Linked DNA regions of Neurospora crassa OR74A. The protein of the gene in region 1 interacts with the protein of each later gene in a pairwise test. Links are inferred from orthologs where the notes say so. Each region holds a gene or a part of one and is shown in the gene's direction. Other genes may lie near its edges. The genes, in order: NCU02256 and NCU01695.

What was found.
Region 2: the proteins of NCU02256 (region 1) and NCU01695 interact in binary tests that used the Saccharomyces cerevisiae proteins (3 or more experiments, as listed by UniProt). The link is inferred for Neurospora crassa OR74A from reciprocal best matches to the Saccharomyces cerevisiae genes RRP6 and NRD1.

The regions. Positions count from the first base shown.
Region 1 is NC_026507.1:3,160,521-3,169,002, reverse strand, and holds NCU02256 (exosome complex exonuclease Rrp6), read left to right. Parts: upstream 1-3,291; 5' UTR 3,292-3,424; coding exon 3,425-4,002; intron 4,003-4,061; coding exon 4,062-4,395; intron 4,396-4,450; coding exon 4,451-6,007; 3' UTR 6,008-6,255; downstream 6,256-8,482. Other genes in the region: NCU02255 (N-acetylglucosaminyl transferase component Gpi1), read right to left, coding at 1-690, 758-892; NCU17251 (hypothetical protein), read right to left, coding at 2,255-2,256, 2,312-2,405, 2,474-2,550, 2,612-2,649, 2,702-2,742; NCU02257 (protein-tyrosine phosphatase 2), read left to right, coding at 8,036-8,426. UniProt on the Saccharomyces cerevisiae protein: Nuclear-specific catalytic component of the RNA exosome complex which has 3'->5' exoribonuclease activity and participates in a multitude of cellular RNA processing and degradation events.
Region 2 is NC_026502.1:2,697,683-2,706,076, reverse strand, and holds NCU01695 (RNA binding protein Nrd1), read left to right. Parts: upstream 1-2,921; 5' UTR 2,922-3,884; coding exon 3,885-4,013; intron 4,014-4,089; coding exon 4,090-4,335; intron 4,336-4,548; coding exon 4,549-4,651; intron 4,652-4,742; coding exon 4,743-5,799; intron 5,800-5,855; coding exon 5,856-6,024; intron 6,025-6,077; coding exon 6,078-6,593; 3' UTR 6,594-7,020; downstream 7,021-8,394. Other genes in the region: cit-1 (mitochondrial citrate synthase), read right to left, coding at 1-664, 753-946, 1,032-1,096, 1,166-1,273; NCU01696 (mRNA cleavage factor complex component Pcf11), read right to left, coding at 7,539-7,586, 7,647-8,394. UniProt on the Saccharomyces cerevisiae protein: Plays a role in sequence-specific regulation of nuclear pre-mRNA abundance.

The DNA.
Region 1 (8,482 bases):
CACCCTATGAGCCATCAAGCCTAGCACAAATACCTTCTTGATGACGGGCAGCACGTAAATGGTGATCAACTCCCAAAGCCATACCAAGACCATGTCGCGAGCTGTGGTTGCCGACTCGACCACTCGTTCTGACACGCTCAAAGCCCTCTTAGGACGAGTGCCGATGCGTGAGACGTTCTGCTGCAGTAGCTTTTCGAGCTCCCATGCCCAATTGATTTGGTTGACTATTGTGGCAAGCGCTCGTTCTTTGGGCGACGGAATTCGCTTTATCACCGAATGTTGTTTGAGCTTCTCGACCAGTTTTCGCTTCGTTTCCTTGCTCAAACGCTCCCGCTTCTCGTCGTCCTCCTCCCCACTGTCGGCGAAATCTTGCTTAAATCCATCGTGTTTGTCTCCCAGTGCCAAGGCAATCGGATTAAGTGACATGTACTGCATTCGTCCTGGCAGAGGCCGCTCGAAAAGGATAATCTGGATACTAGACGCTCGAGCACAGGTGACAGAAGGCACACGCTGTTTAGGCGCTATCGTAACCCGGATCCATGATGAGTCGACCTCGACGGTGTCTGGAGTGTTTGAGACGCCCAAGACGCTTATGGACGATTTGCCGCATTGTTCGTAGATGCGGCTGACTGGGTGAGGGGCGTTACGGAGAAGGTTACCGAGCTTTAACGCGCTTTCAACACGTCGAGGCTATCACAGAGTCAGCGCTTTTGTCCACATCCATCCCCGGCCAGCTGTAGACCCGGAGGGCACAAACCTCAACCTCCTCCAGTACTGCCACCACGAGAACATCCAAGGCCGAGTTCCTCCAGCCGACCACGACGCCGTTACAGTCGGATCGCGGAAGGTCTGTGGGCCAGAACACGCGCATCAAGCCATCATCCTCTGGCATGACAGATAGCGCAATCGCAAGCAACCAATCAGAAAGAGCCCCTTCTCCTTAGTTGTTCCCTCGCGGAGATACCTGATCCTGGCGATCGCGGATGCTGGACCAGCATTATCAGTATATGGGATTCGCATATCGACTGTTGGTTGGGGGCAGCAGCAGCAAGCTGGTGGTGGTGGTCGTACCAGGTTCGACTCCAAAGTAGCAAGACGTTGCACAGGAATAAAGACGATGAGAAACACAAGGCTTAACACGCCGAAGCCCTTGGCGGCCCGAGTCTAGAGACGAATTGACACACAAGGTTAGCGATCCAGGCTGTTGCTGTTTCGGCGCAATGGTGGTTGGCCGGGGGCGGAGTGCCACAGTTTTTCCCTCTTTCCCATGGCATGTGACACTTACCACCACTCCGTAGTTCCAAGCGAATATGGCAAGCTCATATAGGCGAGTGACGAGGTCCCATCGGGCGGTGATATACCCAGCTACGAAGATGCCGAGTGTAAGAACAGAAAAGGGGTGCATAGAGGCGCGCTGCCCCTTACTGTTCGAGCATGCGATCGCGGCAAAAGTCTGGGCCGGTAGATGCTGTAGTCCGATGTCACTTTCCCTTGTGTGGGGAGAGGAAATGCGGGCGGATAGTGGGTGCGGTTATATGAGGAATTGGCGGGCGCTGTAATGGGAGGGGGAAAACAATACTCGACGGTTCGAAGAGGTTGGATTAGGTAGGTCGAAGTCGGGCAAAGCTGGTACTGACGGGAAGCACAACGGGAAGCCGAAAACTTGTTGATTTGGGACGGGGACGGGGGAGCAGGGCGATCAGATGCGTTATGTGTCGTGTCGTGGTGGACAGACTCGGCTCAGACTCGCGCTGAAGTTTATCGAAGCAGTTTAGGCAGTATTACAGGGAGTGTGGAGCGTTCTAAGTTCTAGCGCCCAGAAGCCAGAGTCCCCGAGCGCAACCCGACCTGGCTGCGACTGCACGGCACTCTGTAATGAACCGATTGGATGTTGGGGAGGATCCACTTCTCAAGGACGGGAAACCTTATTTGGAAGGGGAACATTCAACCGACTTGAAGTCATCCATGGCTTCCGTCCATAACAGAGAGCACTGAAAACAACTCAACAGAAGATATAATCAGAAAGGTACAGTCAAAGACCAGCGGGTGACACTTTTGGTACATGGGCTTTGTTCAAGACATGGAGGGTGTGCATAATGGAAAGTCCTTCCACGAATACCAGGCGATATATGATATATACGGAGAAGAGATAATTGAGCAATGTAAGGAGAATAACTGGATTGTTGCGGCTTTGTTCAAGGAGTTGGTCGACGAGTGGTACAGTAAGGTACTCAGACGTCGTCCAGCTCTGGTATTCTGAGCAAGTCAGTCATCCTTTCAACTTTGGCCATGTTCGTAAGCTCAAACTCACATTTTTTCTTGCCCATGTATGTTGAGTCGCTGTCCTTGAGTTCTTCCCGCGCCTCTTCAAGCAGCTTGTCGATGCCACGCTCTTTCAAAGCAACCTGTAAAATGCCATATGGTAAGCTATCTCGATGCTAGAGTACGGGCGCTGTATGGTTTTGCGTCCTACCTGCAGGCAAGAGCTATACTCCTTGAAGAGAATTGAACATTCGTTATTTTGTTCGGTACCATTGCCCCTAAGGTATTCTGTCCAGTATAAGTATCACACATGTCCACTGAGTTGGGGTGTCTGTTCCTGTAGACTTACTCTCACTGTACCATTTGAGAAAGCAAGTGTCGTAACGTCTACAACTGGTTAAGATGTTGTTTTCTTTCCGTATGAAGGACAAAAACTTACTCCTTGGCCTCGTTGCATTCCTTGGCGAGTGACTGGGACATCTTTAAAGTCCAGAGCTATGTTTTCAACCGTAGGTGTTGCCAACAAAACGATAGGCTTGGTACGGTGTCCGATGACTTATGGGTATCGACGGTATATCTATGTTTTGGGCAAAAGATCGTATAGAAGGGTGTTCGTGAGATACTCCAGGTGAATATTTTTGGTGGAAAAGACGGTTGTACGGAATCTCAAATATCAACGTTCACCGGTGAGTCCGCTTGGAAACCAACAAGTACCAGGTGCTATTCAACAATGGGGTTGCGGACTTCCACTTCGTCACAGGACGGATCTCAAAAGCCTGGACGCCGATGGATGAACGAACGTTGGTGGTCCAGATCAGCACAATCTTGGCTCTTGGCAAGCGCCCCCTTGGCCTTATGTAATCGGCTGCCCAAAGTCTCTCTACTTTAGTGCTTCTACTTCCCAGCATGGGCCATCAGGTACCTCTACCAGCGCAGAGCGGGAACAGCTCACTCGAGGCCCACTTGATGGCATCCATCGGGCAGCTTCCACTTTTCGAGGTCCCGTTCACTTTGGCGCTTTCTCCACAAGCCACATGCTGGGACTGTCCGCAAAAAAAGTTCCCAAAGAGCAGCAGAACGACAAACCATTTTTGGAAAATTGAACCGGGCTTCCACTTCCAGTGACGTCCACACCACAACGACTCCAGAACCACCGGCCAATATGGACGGCTCACTGGACTTCAAGAGCTTGAGGGAATCGCTCCAAGCCGCCCTGGTCGCTACGACCCGAACCGCCAACTCAATCGCCAGCGAGGATCTTCAGTTCCAGCGCACCGTCAACCCGACTGTCGGTGGTCAACTCGACAACAGCTCCGGCCGCCTTCTGTCCCTGGCCAACGGGCTCCTCAAGTCGACCGCGAATCTTACCGGCCAGAAGGTTGGCGCTCTTGAAGATGCCGACGACGTGGACATCCAATGGCGGAACATTGTCGACGTGATCGACTCGTTGCTCGAGAAAGCCGACACCTGCCTCGACGAGTACACCGGATTGATCAAGCGGAAGGATGCGCCTACCCCCGCCGACCAGGGCCGCGCCCAAAAACGCGTCAAGTCGTCTAACGATCGTCTTGACTGGTCCTTGAAGAGAGCCAACATTCTCAAACCACAGAATAACTTCGAGAAGAAGGTCGATAACTTCGCTACCGGTCCTTGGAAGCCTCTGTTGTCGTCCAAGCCTCATGCCAAGGTGTCACTGGAAGACAGCCTGACCACCTTTGTCGATGATGACAACAACACACAGTACGTCTAACCTTTCTTTCCAATATCATAAGAGCATGTCGCTAACATGAATCTCCCAGATACAAACACCCCTACGAAACCGAGATCAAGACGACACCGTACCCTGAGCATGTGTACAAGAAGCGCGAACCCAAGGAGTACCTTCCTATCGATTCGACATCCGCCATCTGGGTTGATACTTATGAGGGCGTCTTGGAGATGTTGGAGGAGCTCAAGCAGGCCAAGGAAATTGCGCTTGATCTGGAGCACCACGATTTTAGGTCTTACACCGGACTGTTGTCTCTCATGCAGATCAGTACCAGAGAGAAGGATTGGGTCATTGATACTCTTCAACCTTGGAGGCACAAGCTTGAGGTTCTGAATGAGGTTTTTGCGAACCCCAACATTGTCAAGGTGAGACACATCCTGGCCTTCTGCTTTCACTGTATTATCGACTAACTTGACCCAGGTTCTTCACGGTGCTTTCATGGATGTCATCTGGCTGCAGAGAGATCTTGGTCTCTACGTTGTAGGTCTCTTCGACACATATCATGCTTGCGCCGTTCTCGGGTACCCTGGAAGGAGCTTGGGTTATTTGCTTAGCAAGTTTGCCGAGTTCGAAGCCGACAAAAAGTATCAGCTTGCGGACTGGCGCATCAGACCTCTCCCCGAGGAGATGTTTTACTATGCGCGGTCGGATACCCACTACCTGCTCTACATCTTCGACATGATCATCAACGAGCTCGTGGAGCGCTCAACACCCGGAAAGCCGAAGCCTGACCTTCTCGAGCAGGTCCTCGAGAGGTCCAAGGATGTCGCCCTGCAACGATACGAGAACCTTAGCTACAACGTCGAAACCGGCCAGGGACCCCGCGGGTGGTATAATGTGCTGTTGAAGTCCCCAACGCTCTACAACGGCGAGCAGTTTGCCGTCTACAAGGCCGTACATCAATGGCGTGACAACTTGGCTCGTCGTGAGGACGAGAGTCCCTTCTTCTTTATGACACAGCAGGTTCTGGCCGACATTGCCCGGATACTCCCGACCGACAAGAAGGCTCTGTGGAGTATTCTGGATAGCAACGCCAAGGGCCTCAAGTCTCATTTGGATGATCTATTCGACGTCATTCAAAAGGCTAGGGAGGAAGGTGTGAACGGTCCCAAGATGATGGATATCTTCAAGAGCGAGTCATCTATCCTCGCCCCCGCCAAGATTGCTGCGGTCATCGCCGACGATAGCGACATTCCGGACGTCAAGGAGCTCAAAGCTGACCGGTCACAATTTTGGGGCGGCGTCACTCTGAGCTCAGTCTGGGACGGCACGGCTGCGAAGACTGCCAAGCTTGACGACGTGTTGGAAATCACCCTTCCGTATCCGGCCGACTTCATGGACGGATCTACGGCTGAGATGGAGGTGGATCAACCAGAAGAGGCGGTGCCAGAGCCCCAGCCGGCGCCGGAAGAGGTGATAGTCAACCAGGAATTCACTCTTAGGAACGGAGGCAAGCGCAAGCGCGAGGAAGAGTCTGAGGAAGAAGAGGAGGCCTCAGATGCCGAAATGGAGGATTCCGCGCCTCAGACCGAAACCGACGTGCAAACCGGTGGTGAAGCCGAAGGTGACGACTCCGACGAGGAAGAAGAGGAGGAGGAGGAAGAGGCAAGCGACAAGTCATCCAAGAAATCCAAAAAGGCAGCCAGGAAAGCGGCCAAGGAGAAGAAGAAGCAGGCCAAGGAAGCTCTCAAGGCCCAGCGAAGGGCAGAGAAGGCCGCCAAGAAGGAAGCAAAGAAGAAGGCGCAGGAAGAAGCTGCTGCTGCCGCTAAGCAGGCGGAGGGCGAGGAGAAGGAAGATCAGCCGTTTGATTACTCTCAGGCTGCGTCGGTGTTGCGTGCTCGCAAGACTCAGGAGGACGTCAAGAAGGCGAATAAGAGGTTTAACCCGTATGAAAACAAGTCTCAGGGAGGACCCAAGGGCGCAAGAGCGCATTACACGGCCAAGGCGGCTGGCAGGACGGCTACCTTTAAGAAGTGAGGAGCCGGCGGATGAGGAAGATGGAGGGCAAATAGGATAGATTATGGAACGATCAGTGCTGTGTTGGCCATTGATGCCACTTATTTTTTTTACTTGGACTATTATTATCGCGGTGCGTTTTAGTATATGCGACAGGAGAAGAGAAAGAGATGGCTTATGGTAGAGACATAGATACCAAGCAATAACTGATGACGGCCAAGAGACGTCGAGTTTTCATCCTGTTCTACAAAACGCTGAGCCACAGAAACCTTGCATCAAATTATACAGAGTCTCGACCGGTGTGAGTATTTATGTCTTTATATATCCTGCATGTTTGACCTCACACAATCAACTTGCACCTACACTACAGTTTGCCCAAGCTGATTACTGGTATTAGACTCAATTTTCATTTTCTATCTGATGGTATCACGAGGTACCACGAGGTGGAGGGGATCCGCGCGGCGGTCATGAGAGCCAGTTGACAGACCAATGTAACCTACCAACACCTTTTTGAGATCTCGTGGCAGGCGTTTCGTTTCATGATCAAGGCGTATATATCTCCATTTTGGCATTTGGCAAGTCATGGAATGATACTGTAGTATTCCGAGAATATACCTACCTATCTACACACATACATGCATACATACATACATACATACATACATACATACCACCACAACTATCTACAGCCTAAGGCGACATCGACACACCAGAAACGATCGAAGCGCCACCAGCGGTAGGTATGTCGTCCTGCTTTTCTCGTCTAGGATCTTATGCTGCCCAAGATAGGTATGTAGCTCAAAGCTCTACCTATCCGATGCTGGCATGCTGCTGCAACCCAGGGGCGCAGACAAGGATTCCTGTTGCGGCATGTCGCGTGGGCATTGCAGGATTCATTCTAAATAGGTACCTTGCCGGACAGATGAGCGGCCTTGCTGATACATGGTGAGGCAACCCAGGCAGTTCCTGCTGAGCATGCCATGCCATGCCTGCTAGTCGCCCAGGATTGGAGAGACCAGAGATATGGATGGCGGTCATTGATGATGGTGCTGTGGTGTCATTCGGGAAATGAGGCAGGGTTCGTCTATGACGGGGCTTGTTGAGGATTCTAGCCTTGCTTCGTTCGGTTGCAGTGCCGTTCTCGTTTCTTTTTTCATGTCGCCCTGGTCTACAGGGTTTCGACCTCTTCTCGTCTTTTGGTCAGAGGTCAAGGGGGGGTACCCCTGCCTACCCTGCAGTTGGTGTCCAACCCTCTCGGCAGGGCGGGTACAGCTCGCAGGGGGGCCCGGGACGGAGCAAGGACGGGAAGCTCAGCGCGAGCCATTCTAAGTAGGGTCCCTCCACTAACATCAGATGCCATCTGACCATAACAGGCAGTTGCGACGCTCAGCTTGGTCGTCATTTGTTCCATGCTGGACTTGAACTCACGGTCCCGTCCATTTGACAAACTGGAGGTGTCCAGCTGCCTCACTGCGTCTTTTTCCCTGGAAACTGAACAATTTGATTGTCACTCCGTCGCCGGCGAAACAAAGGCGGAATACTTTTGGCGCCCCACCCGCTTTGGCAAGATCGGCATTGTCGGTTCTTGACTTACTAGAGAGGTACTCTTACACCTTCTTGTTTGTGTTTTTCCCATGCGCCGCCTTTGAATATTGCGGCGCAAAACCGATATAACTACCGCCCTCCTCAAGCTTCCCTCTCCCGCTCACCAAGTACCACGATACCAGCCTTGAAGATCGCCGCTGGACAGCCTCGTCTTTCCAACAAACAAGAGCCATTCACTTAGTCCTAGTATTGCTCATCGTGCCATTCCATCCCATCCGTCAAACAGCCTTACAGGATCCCACCTTCGTTTTGCCCTCCAAGCACCACAGTGGACCCGACCTTGACGTGTCTGCGTGGCAGAGTCCCCGAGGCCGCCTGTGCCCTCGTCAGAAGCCTCTCTCACTTGCCAGACTCGGTCACCGCAGTAGCCTCTGGCACCGTCAACCGATTTGCACGTCGAATTACACCGTTCCTCGCCGACGTCATATTTATAGCGTCCCCACCATGGACCACTTTCCGCGACTACGCCCGCATCGGCGCAAACGAGACATCACCGCTCCCAGTTTGATCACCACACCTACTACCACCAAGTCAGAAAGTACTTCTGAGAAAACCGAGTCTCCTTCGGCTGAACTAACAACCCCCACCGCCACTCCTTCGCTACGCTCAGTCCATAAGCTCCGTCCCTTTCGAGTATTTTCACGTTCGTCCAAGAGGGCCCGCGAGTCCTCTCCCGCTTCGCACAAACAGACACCGACTGTCGCCGCCGTTATGGCTTCCAACGGTACCGCAGACCACCCTGCTTCGCCAGCCGAGAGCAAGACGTCGTCAGGGCAACAGCTCAAGAAAGATGGCCGACCCAAGATGCCCTCTTTCCTGGAATTAAGCGAGTCTGGTAAGCTCTATGGCTCGCCTTTTGGCGCTCTCACTTTTTTTCCCAAGACACATACA
Region 2 (8,394 bases), on another chromosome or scaffold:
CCGGCGTTAAGGGTGTCCCAGAGGTACTTGGTGATGGCCTCATCGGAGAGATCGTCACCGATGACCTTCTTCATCTCGGTGAGCCAGTTAAGGACCTCCTGGTTGGCAAGACCGTGGAGGGGACCGGCGAGACCGTTCAGACCGGCAGCGACGGAGAGGAAGGGAGAGCTGAGAGCAGAGCCGACAAGGTGAGTGGTGTGGGCAGAGACGTTGCCACCCTCGTGATCGGTGTGGATGGTGAGGTAGAGACGGAGGAGCTCAACGAAGTCCTTGTTGTCGCCGAAGCCGAGCTGGTTGGCGAAGTTGAAGGAGTAGTCCTTGTCCTTCTGGACAGCAGCGACCTTGCCGCCCTTGAAGACGTTCTGGTAGATGCGGGCAGCAATGGTGGGGAGCTTGGCAATGAGGTCCATGGAGTCCTCAAAGGTGTAGCCCCAGTACTCCTTCTTGTTGATACCCTTGGCGTAGGCACGGGCGAAGGAAGAGGTGTGCTCGAGAGCGGTGACAGCGAGGGAGAGCTGAGCCATGGGGTGGAGGTCAGAGGGGCAGCGGTCGATGAGCTCCTCAATGAACTTGGGGACATCGGAGCGGGCAGCCCACTCGGCAGAAAGGTCGCGGACCTGCTGCTCGGAGGGGACCTCACCGGTCAGGAGAAGCCAGAAGAGACCTGCGTATCAAGTCAATACACAAGACCGCTTAAACACGATATCTCACGGTGCATGGTCCTGGCAAGGCGCGCAGGCGTGTGAACGTACCCTCGGGCAGGGGCTCCTTGCCGCCGGGAGCCTTGGGAAGCAGTTCCTGGCACTCGGGGATGGTCTTGCCGCGGAAACGGATACCCTCCTCGGCGTCGAGGACGGAACCCTCCCAGACAAGGCACTTGATGCCACGGGCACCGCCATAGACCTGGTCGAGAGTGACCTTGTCGACGACCTTGGAACCGTGCTCCCTGAGGTTGGCAGGACAGATCAGCAACACGATAGACGAGTCGAGAAGCTATCGACGGCTTATGCCGAGGCAGAGGTAGAGCTTACTTGCGGAGGGCCTTGATCTTCTCGATGTTCTCGGGGAGGAGCTCAGCGAAGCGCTCCTTGAGAGTCTAGTACGGCCAAAGAAGCGCGGTCAGCGGATGATGTCAGTGTGTCCCCGGCTCATGAGACTGCCTTACCTGAGTCTTGGAAGAGTAGCATCTGGCGGCAGTGAAGGCAGTCTGGCGAGAAGTGAGGTGGATGGAGGACCTCAGGGCGGCGGAGCCCAGGCGCATAACGGGAGCCATGGTTTACTGAGTGGGAGGACGGGATGTGGTGTGGTTGAGGAGAAAGGAACAGTACGGAAAGGAGAGAAGAAAGGGAAAAGGTTCAGGTTGAAGCAATCAAGGCGGCACGGGCTTGAAAAAAAAGCGCAGCCGGGGAGCAGGCAATGCGTGGGAAAATATGCCTGACCTGCCGTCGCAACCAGCGAACCAGGGCAGGTCCAGAGGTCCGTTAGGTGGCTTTGGCGGGCTCTGCTCCCGTCGCTCCTGCCGGGGGATTGGCCTGCCCCGACTGGATGCGAATTGCCCGCAATTGCCAGTGCCAATTGGATCCAATAATGTTCACGGGCGGGAGCAAATAGGCGGGGCTCCCACTCTGCTCGGGCCAGTGGACCGGGGTGTTCGGGCCAGTTCTCTCACGAAGTTGTTGTATTGTACAATACACCGGGCCGCGATGCTCGTGACACGACACGCTGCTTGATCCACAATGGCCGACTCGTAGACAGGCAGATGCTCCTCTTCCCTCGCGAATCCGCGAGTATGAGACTGGAGAAGCCCACACCGTAATCACCGTAGAGGCCGGCGCCAAATCTCCGTTTTTTGATGGATACAATATCCGGCCCTGAATGTGGTCAATTTGGATCATGAAGCTGAACATGGAACTCTGCGGGCCAAAGGTTCAATGTTTCTATCCGGATGTACGTGGAGGTAGCTTGGCCGAGCTGCCGAGCTCGAGCGGGTCAGGGGGTCGCTGACGCCGTTCTAAGGATCGAACGCGGGGCGGCTCCCACACGTGTGTTTCGGTTCCCAAGTCTCCTCCCGTCCATGCGCGCGGTAAAAGGATGGCCGACGACGGAAGACCGGAAGAATACCTGGACACGACCACGCTGAACACTTGCGGCACCGACATCATGTGCGCGTCTCTGCAATCGCATGTGTCTCGAGGGACAGCGGTTGTCAGACCAGACCTCAACATCGCGATGTCAAAACTGCTTGTTCACTCGCATCGATGTCGACACCGGCATGCATTGACGTCACGGCACCCTTTGGGCCTTTGGGACTACCTAGGTATGTACTTGGCCCTTGCGAGATCCCTAACTCATCCGGGGAAGCCGCCCCTTTTGACAGGTGTGGAAACGTTCCTGCTCCGGGTTTCCAGAAAACAATGTTGGAATTGCCAATTGATGGACGGATTGATAATAGATGAACCCGCCTGCACAATCTGTTCCCTAGCACGTCCTCGACACTCAACGCTCATCATCAATGTTCGTGGAACCTTCGGGGTTGCATGGAGAGTCGGATGGAGCACGCAACCGACTCCAGTAAGGGCTTCATCCAATCTCAGGTTGGATGTGGATCAACGGTTGGGGTTCCTAATTTACCGCAATCCGTCTCGGCTTTGTTGCCTTAGTGCCTCATGCTCTTGGTACGTGCGTCAGGCCACAACACGTCCGACACCTCTCTGCAAGGCTTTCGTTTGCTTGTAAAAAGAAGGTTTTCCGAGCCTTCAGTCACAACAGTTCGAGGCGGGTCATTCGAACCAATCAAGGCGTGATTGGGTGGCTCGAAAAAGTGCCTGCCAGTTCGTTCCTCCCCTCGGGCCACGCATCACAGCCACGGTGCCACAGCAGCACAGCACACAGGCAGCAGGGCAGGCAAACCGAAGCGACGAACGGATGCAATCGAACCCGACAGACGACTCGAGCAGAGTCAAGATCAGGGCAGCCACTACAGCCGAGTACCCACCCATACCTGCACCAACCACCGACCACTGGCACTCCCCCGTCCAGTCCACTTCTTCTACTTCTGCAACGACAACTTTTCTTTCTCCCCGCTTTCCAACCCCAACTCCCTCCTCACTTCTCGCATCACCACCACATCACGCTTTTGTCGTCATCAGCGAAAATAATCTTAAACGCCAACGGAGACCGCCTTCGTCAATCCAGCAATCCAGTAATCGACTAGTCGCCCAGGATTTGTCCATGCATCTCGACTCAGCACACGCTCACCTGGATTTTCTCACTTTCTAGTAGCCTCACAGTAAAAGGGTGCGCCCAGATCACATCCGCGCAGGTCAAGTCCTGATCTTGTCTGCCCTTCGTACAGCTGCTTTCGTTGCGGTTCTTGCACGTCGTCACAGCTATCCCCAGTTGGTGGTTTCCACTTCGCGCGTCACGTCAGAAAAATAAAAAGGACCACCGTATTCTTGCTCGCACACACGCCGGCCAGCAACATATATCTCTGGCCTCTCGGCTTCTCTTTTTTTTGCTAGGACTTTGCACTGGCCTACGGCTTCTGCGCTTGTCTTAAGACGCACAGAAAGGACAGTCTCTTCGTACAAGCTGCTCTCTTCTGAGTACCCGGTGGCGCGGGCAAATTGCAGCTTCGTAACCTCGGTGATATACGTCGAGAAGCAAGGAAAGCAGACCTTGGATGCCGACCTGTTTGAGCCTTAATCAACGTACTCCGTCTTTCCACCCGTGACAAAGGAGCATGGTATTGGCATAAAACCTTTAATCAGCCTTCACCGTATCACAACCGTACTACATCGCAGCTTGTATTTCCAAGCCCAACGGCCAAGTTGATTGCCGACTTCAGCTGGTCTTGCTCGATTTTCAAACAAAAATCATCCATCATGTTGTCGTCACAGGCGGCCGTAGCTGAACTAGAGAAGGGCCTCGGGGACATGCAAAACCTGAAACCGCCCGGTGTCTCTGGCTCGAAAATCAATAGCCTCACCATGCTGTGTTTGAACAACGTCCAGGTAAGAAAAGCGCCGTGTCTGGGCTCGACAGTATGCACGATGGAGGCACCAGAGCTAACCACACATCCTTCGACAGTACGAATCACAGCTGGTTCAGAAGTTATATACCCACTACAAGAAGACACCAAACACTCACAAGCTGGGCGTCCTATACGTCGTAGATTCTGTAACCCGCAAATGGTTGGAGAAGGCAAAGGCCCTTGAACAACCCGTCACCCTTGGTGCACAGGATGGCACCTATGCTGCCGGTGTCCATAGAGTGACTGAACTAATGCCCATGTTCATGAACGCCATCATCTCTTCGGCCCCCGAGGATCAAAAGGTACGCACACAACCGCACACTCATGTGCCGTCTTACACTTATACCTCCATTTCTGCCAAACGGACTAGACCCCGAGCACACTTGGGAGCGGCTGTAAGATCAGGCCACACCAGTCGTCTTCACTTTCCTAGACCATATCGTGCATCCATTTTTGGTTGTATTTAGTGTCCAGTATCATGTTGTTCATAAACTCACACCCGTATCGTCTTGTAGGAGAAGATCAAGAAGCTGGTCGACATATGGGAAAAGGGCCAGACGTTTCCTCCCGATATGGTCAACACCTTCAAGGAGAAGCTGAATGCTCATCAACAGCACAGTAGGTTTTGCCCGGATCCTCCTAAGCATATTCCCTTACGCGTGTGCGGTGCTCGTTGTTTGCCTGATCTAACTGTAGCGTGTGCCGATAGATGTCTCGACAACACCACCAGGCAGTCCCCCTCCCAACCCGCTGGCTTCCTTGCAGGCCACTAGCAGACCTCTCCCTACGCCTACAACTACCGCCGTAATGCCGTCCAACATCCTGGAGACCTTAGCAAATCTTGCCCGCTTGAATGCGAATGCGGCTCAGAGTAATTCCAGCGCGGCCGCCCCTGCTCCCGCCCCGGCCGCAACTGCGGCTGTGGCCCCTTCTCCGGTACAAATGGGGGTCCCGCAGATTCCTCCTGTTACTTCTTCCACGCCGCATCCCATGTTTGCTACTTCTGGCCAGCCTAGCAATGGAGCATTGCCAGCCGGATTTCTTCCCGGTGTGGGGCACCCGGGTATGCCGTACTTATCAGCATCGCAGCCGGCGGGGCAGTCGGTGAACATGCCACCGACGATGCCATTTGGCTTCCCAGCTCCGGCCGCACAGCTAGCTCAGCCTGTGCAAGTGCCAGGAGCAGCCCCTAGTGCGAATACCGCTACGACGGTTCAGCTGTTCGCCGCCCTCGCCGCCCAGGGCATCCCTCTTGACAAGATTGCCAGTGTAATGCAGCTGATGGGTCAACCAAGTGGCACCGCCCCGGCAGCACCTCCCCAGTCCGTTGCTCAGCCTCTATATGCCGGCTATCCTCCTCCTCCCCCTGCTGGCGGTGTATCTGCTGCCCCTGCATGGGAGGCCGTGAGACATGATGAATCACGTGATCGTAATGGCTATCATGATGGGATGAGGTCTCCAAATAGGCCTCGGGGTCGCTCTCGCTCACGCTCGCCGCGGCGCTGGGATGTCAGGGGGTCGCCTCGAGCCCGCGGTAACGATCGCTTTGATTATGGGCGGAGCACCCCGCCCCGTGGCCATCCGGATGATCGTGGTAGAGACCGGGATATGCGTATTCCCGAGTACCGACAACGGTCGCCCCCCAACCGTAGACATGAGAGCCCGGGTCAGGAGCCGCCCTCCGAGAAATGGGTCAAACACGATCCTACTCTTCCCAATGGTCACATCAAGGTGTATAGCCGCACGCTGTTTGTCGGTGGTGTGACGTAAGTTTGCCAAGCTGTTCTCCAGCCTATATGTGCATTGACTGACAGACATGTAGATGTTCCGAAGCCGAACTCCGCTCCATTTTTGGTCGCTACGGCGAAGTACAAACGTGCATCGTCAACAAAGAGAAAAGACATGCCTTTGTCAAGATGTACTACCGTCAAGATGCTGAGAATGCAAAGAAAGCCATGGAAGAGAACAGAGGCTCCGACGTCCAGCTGCGGGTAAGTTTGCGACTCATATCTTCGTTATTGGTCGCCAACTAACGATTTTGTAGACTCGTTGGGGTGTTGGCTTTGGCCCCCGTGACTGCAGTGACTACCAGACTGGGATCAGTGTCATTCCTATTCATAAGCTCACCGAAGCCGACCGGAAATGGATGTTGACGGCACCCTATGGCGGAAGTGGTGGCCAACCTATTACCACCGGTCTTGTTGTCGAGGAGCCAGACATTGAGATTGGCGCAGGTGTTTCGTCAAAAGCCATCAGTCGACGTATGCAGACAGACAAAGGGGGTAACCATGGCCCCAAGTCAAGCCGCCGAGATGAGGAGCCCCAGCATCCTACTGGGAACGCAGGTGGACCGCCCCCTGCCGGTAACCGCTGGCGGCATGGTCGCGAGAAGCATCGCAATAACAGTGGCGATGACAGACGCGGCGATCGGAATGACAAGAATGCAGCCAACGATGACCCGATTGTGATGGGCTTGCCTGGAAACATCACTGTTGGACCGAACGGCATCAATTTTCCTCCCAATTATGCCTTCACATCCAACAGCACGTCCAACAACTGAAGGGTTCGGTTCCTGCTGGCTCGCGGAGATAAAGGCCCAGGGAAAAGCTGAGGAAGACGAATCTGAAGAGAGAGCACACAGGCGAGGGATCAGTTAAGGGAGGAGATACCCCTTGAGATGGATAAAGAACCATGGAGAAAAAAAAAGTTACTGCTATGGGGCCGGAGGCTATCGTTATTTGCGGCGTATTGGTATTCTTTTTTCTGGGTCACTACGTTAGTAGAGGGGCAGCGGTAGGGTATTGCTCTAGGTCCGGTGTATCCTATCTGGTTCTTCTTCAAAGCAGAGGGTTGCTTGATGGTTTTGATCCTTCCGCAACTGTATACTTTATCTCTTCTCTTTCGTTAGATGTCTCTTGACGGTTTTACCATTCTGAAAACCGGTATGATAATTGGTAACCTTAGTGAGAACAAACGTACACTTCTTGTATTCTACTGTAGTCCTTGCTGAGAAGCGCCTCGTCCAACCTAATCCTGCATATTATAACGATCTATTTGCAGATTCACTGTGGTCAATGTCCGAGCTAGAATAAGTACTACTGAAGATGGTGTCTGCTCTCATTCGGACGGCATATGACAGAAATCCAGACCAAGGTCAAGTCTCTTCGAGAACGTGTTTAACATTGGCGGTATTGTGCTTCTCCAGCTTACGTATCGCGCTGTGTTTGTACAACTCTGGCAAGTCAATGCACTGGCAAGGTGTTTGCGTTTGACCTCAAACCGATGGCAAAAGCATAGTAACGATAGAGCACTAGCTCAAAAGTGCTTCGAAGATTCGCTTTTGTATTCGGATGATCTTTCGGGTACCCAAGCTTTGTGCTGACCATATGCTCAACAGTACTCGATCAACCACCACCCTTGATCCCTTTACGCCTCCTTTTCCCCTTGATAGCCGTGTTTGGCCCTACCTTCCCACTTACTGACTGGCTCGCGCCTCGCAGCACTCTCAATATTCCAACTTTATCCTTCCCTTGGCCCCTGAGTAAGCATCATCCTGTTTCATCCAAGTTAGCAATGCACTCAACTACACCCTTGCCACGAACTAGAGACTTACCTCAGCTTTCCTCTTCCTCCCCCCCAATCCATTCTCCCCGCCCATGCTCATTAATCCATTGTCACCACCATCTCCAGGCCCAACACCGCCACCAACACTGCCATTTACCTCCTTATGGCAACTGGCATGATATACCCTCTCGCCTACTTTCGTGGCGTCCATCCACACCCACTCCTGCGCCTCATCAAGCCACTTCATCTCGAATCTTTCCTGGCAGATGGGGCACATGTTATTGACTTTGGCAGAATCCTCGGGAACGGGGATGTAGTCGAGACCGCCCCTTTTGCCTCCCTTTCTACCACCGCCGTGACCGGGCATGGCTTTCCCGCCACCATGACCTCCCGAATGATCAGCACCCATGATGCCACCACCTGGGTACAGAGAGTTGGGGTTATAAGAATTATTGAAGCTCGCCTCGGGGTCGTAATCATCCTCATCCTCATCCACATTATCATCATAGTTGAGTGTATCCTGACCCGGCACACCTCCACCACGACCACCATAACCACCGGCACCACCACCAGCAGTAGTATCAGAACGGTGACCGTGATCAGAATCAATCGCTTCCAACGAGTTCACCCAATCTGACTGCTCCACCCACCAGGACCGGTGCTGCCCGCGTCGCTCTGCGTCCGTCACCCGCTGGTGCACCCGGAAGTGCCAGTCCATGTGCGCTGTCTTCTTGCGCCGGCCTTCCTCGTCGGTGCCGAACCGCCGGCCGCACTGTGTGCAAGGGGGGCCGAGGTCT